Linked DNA regions of Arabidopsis thaliana. The protein of the gene in region 1 interacts with the protein of each later gene in a biochemical or structural test. Each region holds a gene or a part of one and is shown on either strand. Other genes may lie near its edges. The genes, in order: OASA1 and SULTR1;2.

The links.
Region 2: the proteins of OASA1 (region 1) and SULTR1;2 form a complex in vitro, tested with the Arabidopsis thaliana proteins (one study listed by BioGRID).

What each region holds. Positions count from the first base shown.
Region 1 is NC_003075.7:8,518,887-8,522,814, reverse strand, and holds the start of OASA1 (O-acetylserine (thiol) lyase (OAS-TL)), read left to right. Parts: upstream 1-2,218; 5' UTR 2,219-2,483; exon of another isoform or gene 2,484-2,678; intron 2,679-2,748; exon of another isoform or gene 2,749-2,751; 5' UTR 2,752-2,764; coding exon 2,765-2,797; intron 2,798-2,884; coding exon 2,885-2,994; intron 2,995-3,081; coding exon 3,082-3,139; intron 3,140-3,219; coding exon 3,220-3,483; intron 3,484-3,574; coding exon 3,575-3,712; intron 3,713-3,809; coding exon 3,810-3,861; intron 3,862-3,928. Other genes in the region: AT4G14900 (FRIGIDA-like protein), read left to right, coding at 1-114, 263-438, 541-1,056; FdC1 (2Fe-2S ferredoxin-like superfamily protein), read right to left, coding at 1,464-1,928. UniProt on the Arabidopsis thaliana protein: Acts as a major cysteine synthase, probably involved in maintaining organic sulfur level.
Region 2 is NC_003070.9:29,325,767-29,329,694, reverse strand, and holds the start of SULTR1;2 (sulfate transporter 1;2), read right to left. Parts: upstream 2,181-3,928; 5' UTR 1,313-2,180; intron 367-1,312; exon of another isoform or gene 1-366. UniProt on the Arabidopsis thaliana protein: High-affinity H(+)/sulfate cotransporter that mediates the uptake of the environmental sulfate by plant roots. Plays a central role in the regulation of sulfate assimilation. Unable to transport molybdate.

The DNA.
Region 1 (3,928 bases):
GGATTGTGAAGAAGGATGATCTAGCTCTTTATAGGAAACTTGTGGTTGGTTCAGCTTGGCGTAAACAGATGCCAAAGCTTGCTGTTTCAGTTGGTTTGGGCGACCAAATGCCTGGTAATCTTTCTTCTTTACCTTTGATTACCATTAGATGTTTTTAGCTATATATTGGGGAAGCACAAGTTGTTGTCTTTTGTCATGGGAATCTGTGAGTAGTATCTGAAATGGAAAATGATGGTTTTTGGGTTGTTATGGCTTCACACAGATATGATTGAAGAGTTGATAATCAGGGGACAACAGCTTGATGCGGTTCATTTCACTTTTGAAGTTGGTCTTGTACACTTGTTCCCTCCTGTTCCTTTGCTCAAAGCTTATCTGAGGGATGCAAAGAAAGCTACAGCTTTAATCACTGATGATTCCAACAATTCTGGCCGATCTGCGGTACTTTCCTCCATTTGTGTTACTCGTTTTCTTTGCTGGATCCATTTGCAGGGATCTGTTTCTTCTGCACTCGCTTACCAATGTATGTGTGTATTTTTCTAGCATCTTGTGGCGCGCAAAGAGCAATCAGCACTTAGAGCAGTCTTAAAATGCATAGAAGAATACAAACTCGAGGAAGAATTCCCACCCGAGAATCTCAAGAAGAGGTTGGATCAGCTAGAGAAGACCAAAACCGAGAAGAGAAAACCAGCCGTGATTCCCGCCAACAAGAGAACCCGAGCAAGCTACAGCGGTCCAATGCCACCAGCCAAAGCAGGGCGTATCACAAACGCTTACGTCTCCTCTTTCCCACCGCCTCCACCAACATTCATCAGATCCCAAAGTCACTCACCTCAATACGGTGTACCAGCATACACCACATCCCCACCTACCATCTACAGCAACAGGAGCCCTCCATACCAATACTCACCCGAGGCGGTTCATGGTTCTTACCAAACCTCTCCGGTCAGTTATCCGACAGCATATGGTACCTACTGCAGTCCGGTGGCTGCTCCACCCCCTCCAGTTTACCATCCTCACCCGCACCACCACCACCATATTCAGCATGCTTACTACTGATTAGACAATGACAAAGGAAAAAAGAAGATGGTAAGTAACCAACCACTGATCTCTGGTGTCTACGTTTTGTCTCTACCTCGTTTTTGTTGTAATCTCTCTTTTTTTATATCGTATCATTTGTAGCTAACACTCTCACTCTTTCTGGTTCTGAATTAGTCTACCCTTGTGTGTTTATTAATCTAAATTATACATATCTATTCACTTTCCTAATGTTTCAATCAACGAATTTAGTTCAGTACTTAATAGATTCATCTTAAACCAGGAATGTTTCACTGTGATTATGTTATGTATCACTGTTTGTATTGGCTCATTGAAATCAAGATTTCGAAGTCTCATAGCAAGATTCGTTACAAAGTGTTCGTATTACACCAAAAAAAAGACTTCTTTAGTCTAAATCAAGAAGATGATTAGTCGTTGGCAGTGGCGAGCTGGAGAGACAAGAGTTCTTCCTCAGGGATCATCTTAATGTGACAATCAGAAGTTGGATACGAAGCACATAGAAGCGTGTAGCCACGTTCAACCACATCATCACTTAGCATCCCACCACTTTGATCCACCGTTCCGGTCACGAGTTTCGCTGGACAAGTCATACAAACACCGAGATTGCAGTCGTAGGGAACGTCAAGGCCAGAGTCAAGAGCCTTAGATAGAATCGTCTCGTCTGGTTCGACTTCCAATTCAGTCGTCTTTCCGTCGTGCTCTACCACCACTTTATATGCCCGAGCTATGATCCTTCCGGTGGTGAGAAAGTTCCGGCGGTTTGTTGTTGTTGAGAGTGTTGCGTTACGGAGTGGGAAGGAGAAGGAATTGGAGAGATAAGGTTTAGGGAGAGAGATTGTAGAAGTTTGAGTCGGGAGAGGAAGAGTCGCCATGAGAGACAGAGAGACGGAGACAAAAGAGTTTTTGTGTCAAGTGAGAGTGATGACTGTTTGTGGTGAATACGGAGATAAGGTTGATCATCGGTTGTAGATAGTGGTGGGACATAAAAACCGAAAACCGACTTAAACCGAAATTCATTAATGCATTAAACCGAATTAACCAAGATCTAATAAAATGAATTTTAAAATTTTAATTATATTCGTAATTAAGGGAAATATTTTTTCCAAAACAGTTTGAACAAATAAATTCAGTATTATTTTTCCATACTCAAAACTCCAAATCGGACTAACTGAAAAAAAGAAACCGAATGTTCAAACCCCAGTTATGGAAAATATTAACCGGACTTAATACGGATATGACCAAATCAGACCGAGAAGTAGTAATTCTGGTGACCAACCACCGCGTTTTTCTAAATTGATAGCGTGTGCCATGTGACTGACACCAAAGAGATCATATATCTCATCATTCGAAGATTTTATTCCATACAACCGATTTTCTCCATTTTCTTCAAAACGATTCGGGTCAAGGTTATTGACTTTCTCATTCAGGTATCATCTTCTTCCTCGTCCCATACTTTTTGATTCACTTGCTTATTCCTCTGCCGGTTTCGATTATATTTGTTTGGATCGGATAATTGTATGGGCTTAAGCTTATTTCGCTGTTAAATCTGTTGATTTGGTGTTAAGAGTGTTGTATAACTGGATTGGTGCTCATACATCTGGAGATTTATGTTTGATGATTTTGTATGATGTGTTTTTGGTTTGAGGATGATTTATTCCTTTGGTCTTACTTTTCTCTTTTTGTGAATTTAAGCAGTGAAGCTTGAATCATGGCCTCGAGAATTGCTAAAGATGTGACTGAAGTAAGGCTTTCAAGTTCTTTCACTGTTCATTTCACGAAGGAGTGAGCTTTGTTCCATGTTCATGTATTGATTGATTCTATTTGGCAGTTGATTGGGAACACTCCATTGGTGTATTTGAACAATGTTGCTGAAGGATGTGTTGGTCGTGTTGCTGCTAAGCTTGAGATGATGGAACCGTGCTCTAGCGTCAAAGACAGGTTTCTTCTCTAGTCCAGAAACTATGTGTTGTTTCTCGCTTCGAGTTTCGGTTTTGTGAAGACCTTGTACTTTGTTTATTTCTGCAGGATTGGTTTTAGCATGATTTCTGATGCAGAAAAGAAGGGTCTTATCAAACCAGGAGAGGTCAGTTTCGATTATCTGAATCTTCAAACCACTATTTTGTTTTTGTTTTCATTGTTTCTGACTTTTTGTTTGTTCTTTAGAGTGTGCTGATTGAGCCAACAAGTGGAAACACTGGAGTTGGGTTAGCATTCACGGCAGCTGCCAAAGGCTACAAGCTTATTATTACAATGCCAGCTTCTATGAGTACTGAGAGAAGAATCATTCTCTTAGCTTTTGGAGTTGAGTTGGTTTTAACTGACCCAGCTAAGGGCATGAAAGGAGCTATCGCAAAGGCGGAAGAGATTTTGGCGAAAACACCCAATGGTTACATGCTTCAGCAGTTTGAGAACCCTGCCAACCCTAAGGTATGCTTATTATTTACTATTGCTTTAGTGTATCTGTTTTTGTCTGTTTTTGAACCATATTAAGTCGATGGAATTTCACTGTCAAATGCAGATCCACTATGAGACTACGGGACCTGAGATATGGAAAGGCACTGGTGGCAAAATCGATGGCTTTGTTTCTGGGATTGGTACTGGTGGTACCATTACAGGTGCTGGGAAGTATCTTAAAGAACAGAACGCAAACGTCAAGGTGAGAGCTCCATCTTTTCGAACAACTGGCTTTGTTATCTAAGTGACTAAGTGGTGTGTCTTTGCACGGTTTCTCATTTTGTTTCCTCTTCTGTTAGCTGTATGGAGTGGAGCCAGTTGAAAGTGCTATTCTATCCGGTGGGAAGCCAGGTGATTTTGGTTCCCCCTGCGTTTATTACGATAACCATGCATGCATGTTCCTCGTTTCTCGGTTTGC
Region 2 (3,928 bases), on another chromosome or scaffold:
AGTTTAGGATAGTTTTGTTTTAATTTAATGATAAGAGAGTGGTGGTCATATACAATTTGATGAATCTGGATTACTAAGAGACCAAGTACATTAAGAACATTGAAAAAAGTCTAACTAGAAAAGATGCAATTTTTAATTGGCGTTGATCGACATTAAAGTTTAAACAAATTAAGTCAATGGTTTCTGTGGCAAACTTTGTGTGCAATACTGAAAACAATCTCAATTCAATGATCTCGTTTACTTTTTTGCTATAAGGAGAGATAGTTGACCAGAATAGCCACGTGGCACATAGTGAGATTTTTTAAAAATGCAACAGTTATCCCTCAATAAACGAGGAAGAACTAACGTTAATCATATCCTTTCGTTTTTTTTTTTATAAAATAATTTAATTTTAGCTAAGAGTAGACGAAGAGAACCTTATTAATTAACATTTGATTTCTGGATTTTTTTATCATCGTTTTGGGTTGGACATAAACTTTAGAAAAGGACTTAAGAAAACTTAGAAAACAAACCTAACTGAACAGAAATTTGGAAAGAATACCTAAAAGGCTATTATATAAAACCTAATTCATATGTTCTTTTTTGGTGGTTCTAATTGGGACTTGATCTCTTGTCCAAACTCTATGTAGATGTTCTGTCAATACCAGCATATTGACTTGTTCATTAGAATGCATTAAACCAACATTTTAAATCACCCATTTTTTAGACAAAAGCTTTAACTTGTGCAAGTTGATGGACAATGACATGATTATTATAAAAACTAGCCGCAATTCATTTTCAACCTAAGTTTTTCTAAGGAATTAACCGGCGTTTTTCTGTCACATAAGCCAATTTCGATCACAAAAAGCTATAAAAAATAATACGATTCTCTTTTCTGACTAATTTTTATATACTTTAAAACACAAATATTGTAATCAGTTTTTGCTGGAGCCAAAGTGAGCACCACATGTGTTGACTTTGTAATGTAGACAAGTATGCATGATTGATAGTGAGTTAATTAATATTCTACCGATCGAAGAGACGCTGTAATCGTAAACTCCTACACCAGACGATACCTCTTCAACATTTTCCTAGTTCTATTCATTATTGTATAATTGCCAGTTATAAAATTGGGTGATTAATCTGATATCTATACACATAGACAAAAACACAATTGAAAAAGGAATCAACTAGTATTATACTATTTTCACCAAAAAAGAAGAAGATGATTAAACATTATATGCACGTGTATTCTATAAATGAGAGGTTTCAAAATAAATTAATTGGTGTTATGCATAGCCATTGATAGTTGGAAGGTGAAACACCCACTTACCTGGAAAAAGAAGAAGAAGAATTCGATCTCGCTTTTTAGCCTTTTTCCTCCAAATTAGACCTTTTACGTGATTTATTTTAATTTATTAAAGCGAAAAGGGATCTTAAAAAGTAGAAACAGAAAAGAGAGAACGATTTAAGAATTAGAGAAAAAGTACACGAGAGATATTAGTTAAAAGCCTCCCCTTTTTAGATTTTAGAACACCAGATTGTTCATGTTCACTATTCTTTTCTAAAGTTTTAAAACAGTAAAATCAGTAAACCTGAATCATGTCCCGGTTCACTGAATCACTCTCTCATCAAAATACAAAACGAAAACCCTAGTATTTTGTGAGAAAAGTACAAAATTTACAGAGAAAATAGATTTTGCTTCAAACTGGAAAAAAATTCAAGAAAGATAAACAAGAGATAAAAAAAATTATTTAACAAAAGTGAGGGGAAAAAGAAATATAGATCTGAGCTTTTATAAATTTAATGTTTTAAATTGGAATAAACATTAAATTATAAGAGATAAAGATCGTGATTACGAATATTTGGCTTTTTTAGGAGAAAAAAATATAAAGGTGATAATGACAGAAGTAATGGAAACTAAGCAAGAACATCAAAGCGGTTAGATCAAATGATTTTACGACAATGCCACTGGCTCCAAATCAAGAAAAGCGAAAAGGTCAAAAGTTAGGAGCGTTTTTTTTGGGGGGTGAAGTTGACTTTTATAGAAACTGGTGGGCCTCGTTTGAACGTGGACTATAATGTGGCTAGGTTCGTCTTTGGTACAATTAGCCATTGACTACGTGTTCGCTACGCGCTAGATAGTGCTTTGGTGGCTACGAGCTATTTGTTCTCCATGTTGGTTCACGGCCAGCCACACACTATCTTACTATAATTTTTTTTTTTTAAATGTATATTCGTCAACTATTTTGTCGTTGTTTCTTTTTTTTTTTTTTGGGTATTAAACTGAATGTCCTAAACAGCTGTTATAATCTGTTTAGATATGTATTATACGTTATCATCAATCTCAAAAATACGTACCCACGATTGAAGTCGGTAACACATTATGTTTTGCATATGTATGCATATTATAACAAGTTTCGATTTGTAAATTTGTGAATGTAACACTTTAAAAAAGAAAATGTAGATGTATGTATGCATATTATATGCTTCATATCATGGGCCAAGTTGAGAAACCGAACCAAGTACCAACCAACTTGAGAAACCGAACTACCAAAAAAACATCATGGGATATTGGGATGTAGGACCAACTACACTTAAATATATATCCGATGAATTCGAAACTATATATATTAACATGTTTCTCTAGCTACACAAACTTTCTACGATGTGAAAAATTGAAATTGAGTTTTTAAATATATACGTTTAGGGTCGAACTTCAAAATTTGGTATAGTTTTAGGCTGACTTGAAATGATATTTGGGCATTTGAAGTATACGAGAGCTTAATTACGTTTATTGCATTAAACGATATACAATTTTGGGTCACAGACTACAGAGGAATCTAAACGTTTCTTTTAAAACTTTTGCTTGTTTTGTTTGGTATATAGTAGAGCTTTGCATGTGAGACTTACCAATAAATATTACTAAGACTAAAAGAGATTTCGTAATTGTAGAACCTCCTGACCCATAAGTTTTCGAAACGACAATACTTGCTGATTTTATACAGATAAACTAATTTATCATAATCGTTTGCATGTTTATTCTTAGCTAATTCTTAGTCATCTTCGTTTGACATTATAAACCATTATTTTATAGCAATTTTACATAAATATATTTAGATATTGTACGCTATTTTAGATCATATTAAAAAAATGCATTCTATTTAAAAATAACCATACTTAAGATTATTTATATATACCGGTATTAATAATGTTCTATAACATCCTACGAAGCATTCAACGAAGATGATTAAGAATTGTGATAACCATGTTAGAAATTGCGAAAAGAACAAATCCGTACCAACCAGAAAAATAAAATAATCGATCGGTTTCTTATATTATGAGAGACCAAACGTTTCAAATTTGTCGGGGGCATATAATCGACTAAAAATTTTCAGGTGCCGCCTAAAAATGGGTAATATATTTATCTAGTCAACCGTTCAGTTTCTATACATGAATTTTAATCATAGTATATGCATTTCAATCTGTAAATTAGTCACGATTATGTTTGACAAAAACAATATTATGTACGTATGAGTATGTTAGCTTGGTTGGTTAGAACTCTCGTCTATAAAGATTTTTTTATTTATTAAATAGTTTATCGTTTTGTACCGATGAATAAAGTTTATAAAAATTATTTTGATTGGTTGTTCGACATCAAGTACCAAGTAATGTAACATTTGCATGTAAAATATCAAAACATATACTACATCATAAGTTTGCCATCGCAAACGCTGACAAAAAGTAGTTTCTTATTTTATTTTTAAATTTTTGTTAAGGGACAAAAAGAAGTTTTAATTTAAAGTATTTTATAGAGGTAAAATAATGTGAAGTGGTCTTTATGACTAAATTTAAACGCAGCAACCAAAATTCTTAGAAATGTTATGTTTTGTTCGGATCTAAACCAACTTTATTCACATGTTTTTAGTATTTGTTAACTCATGATTCT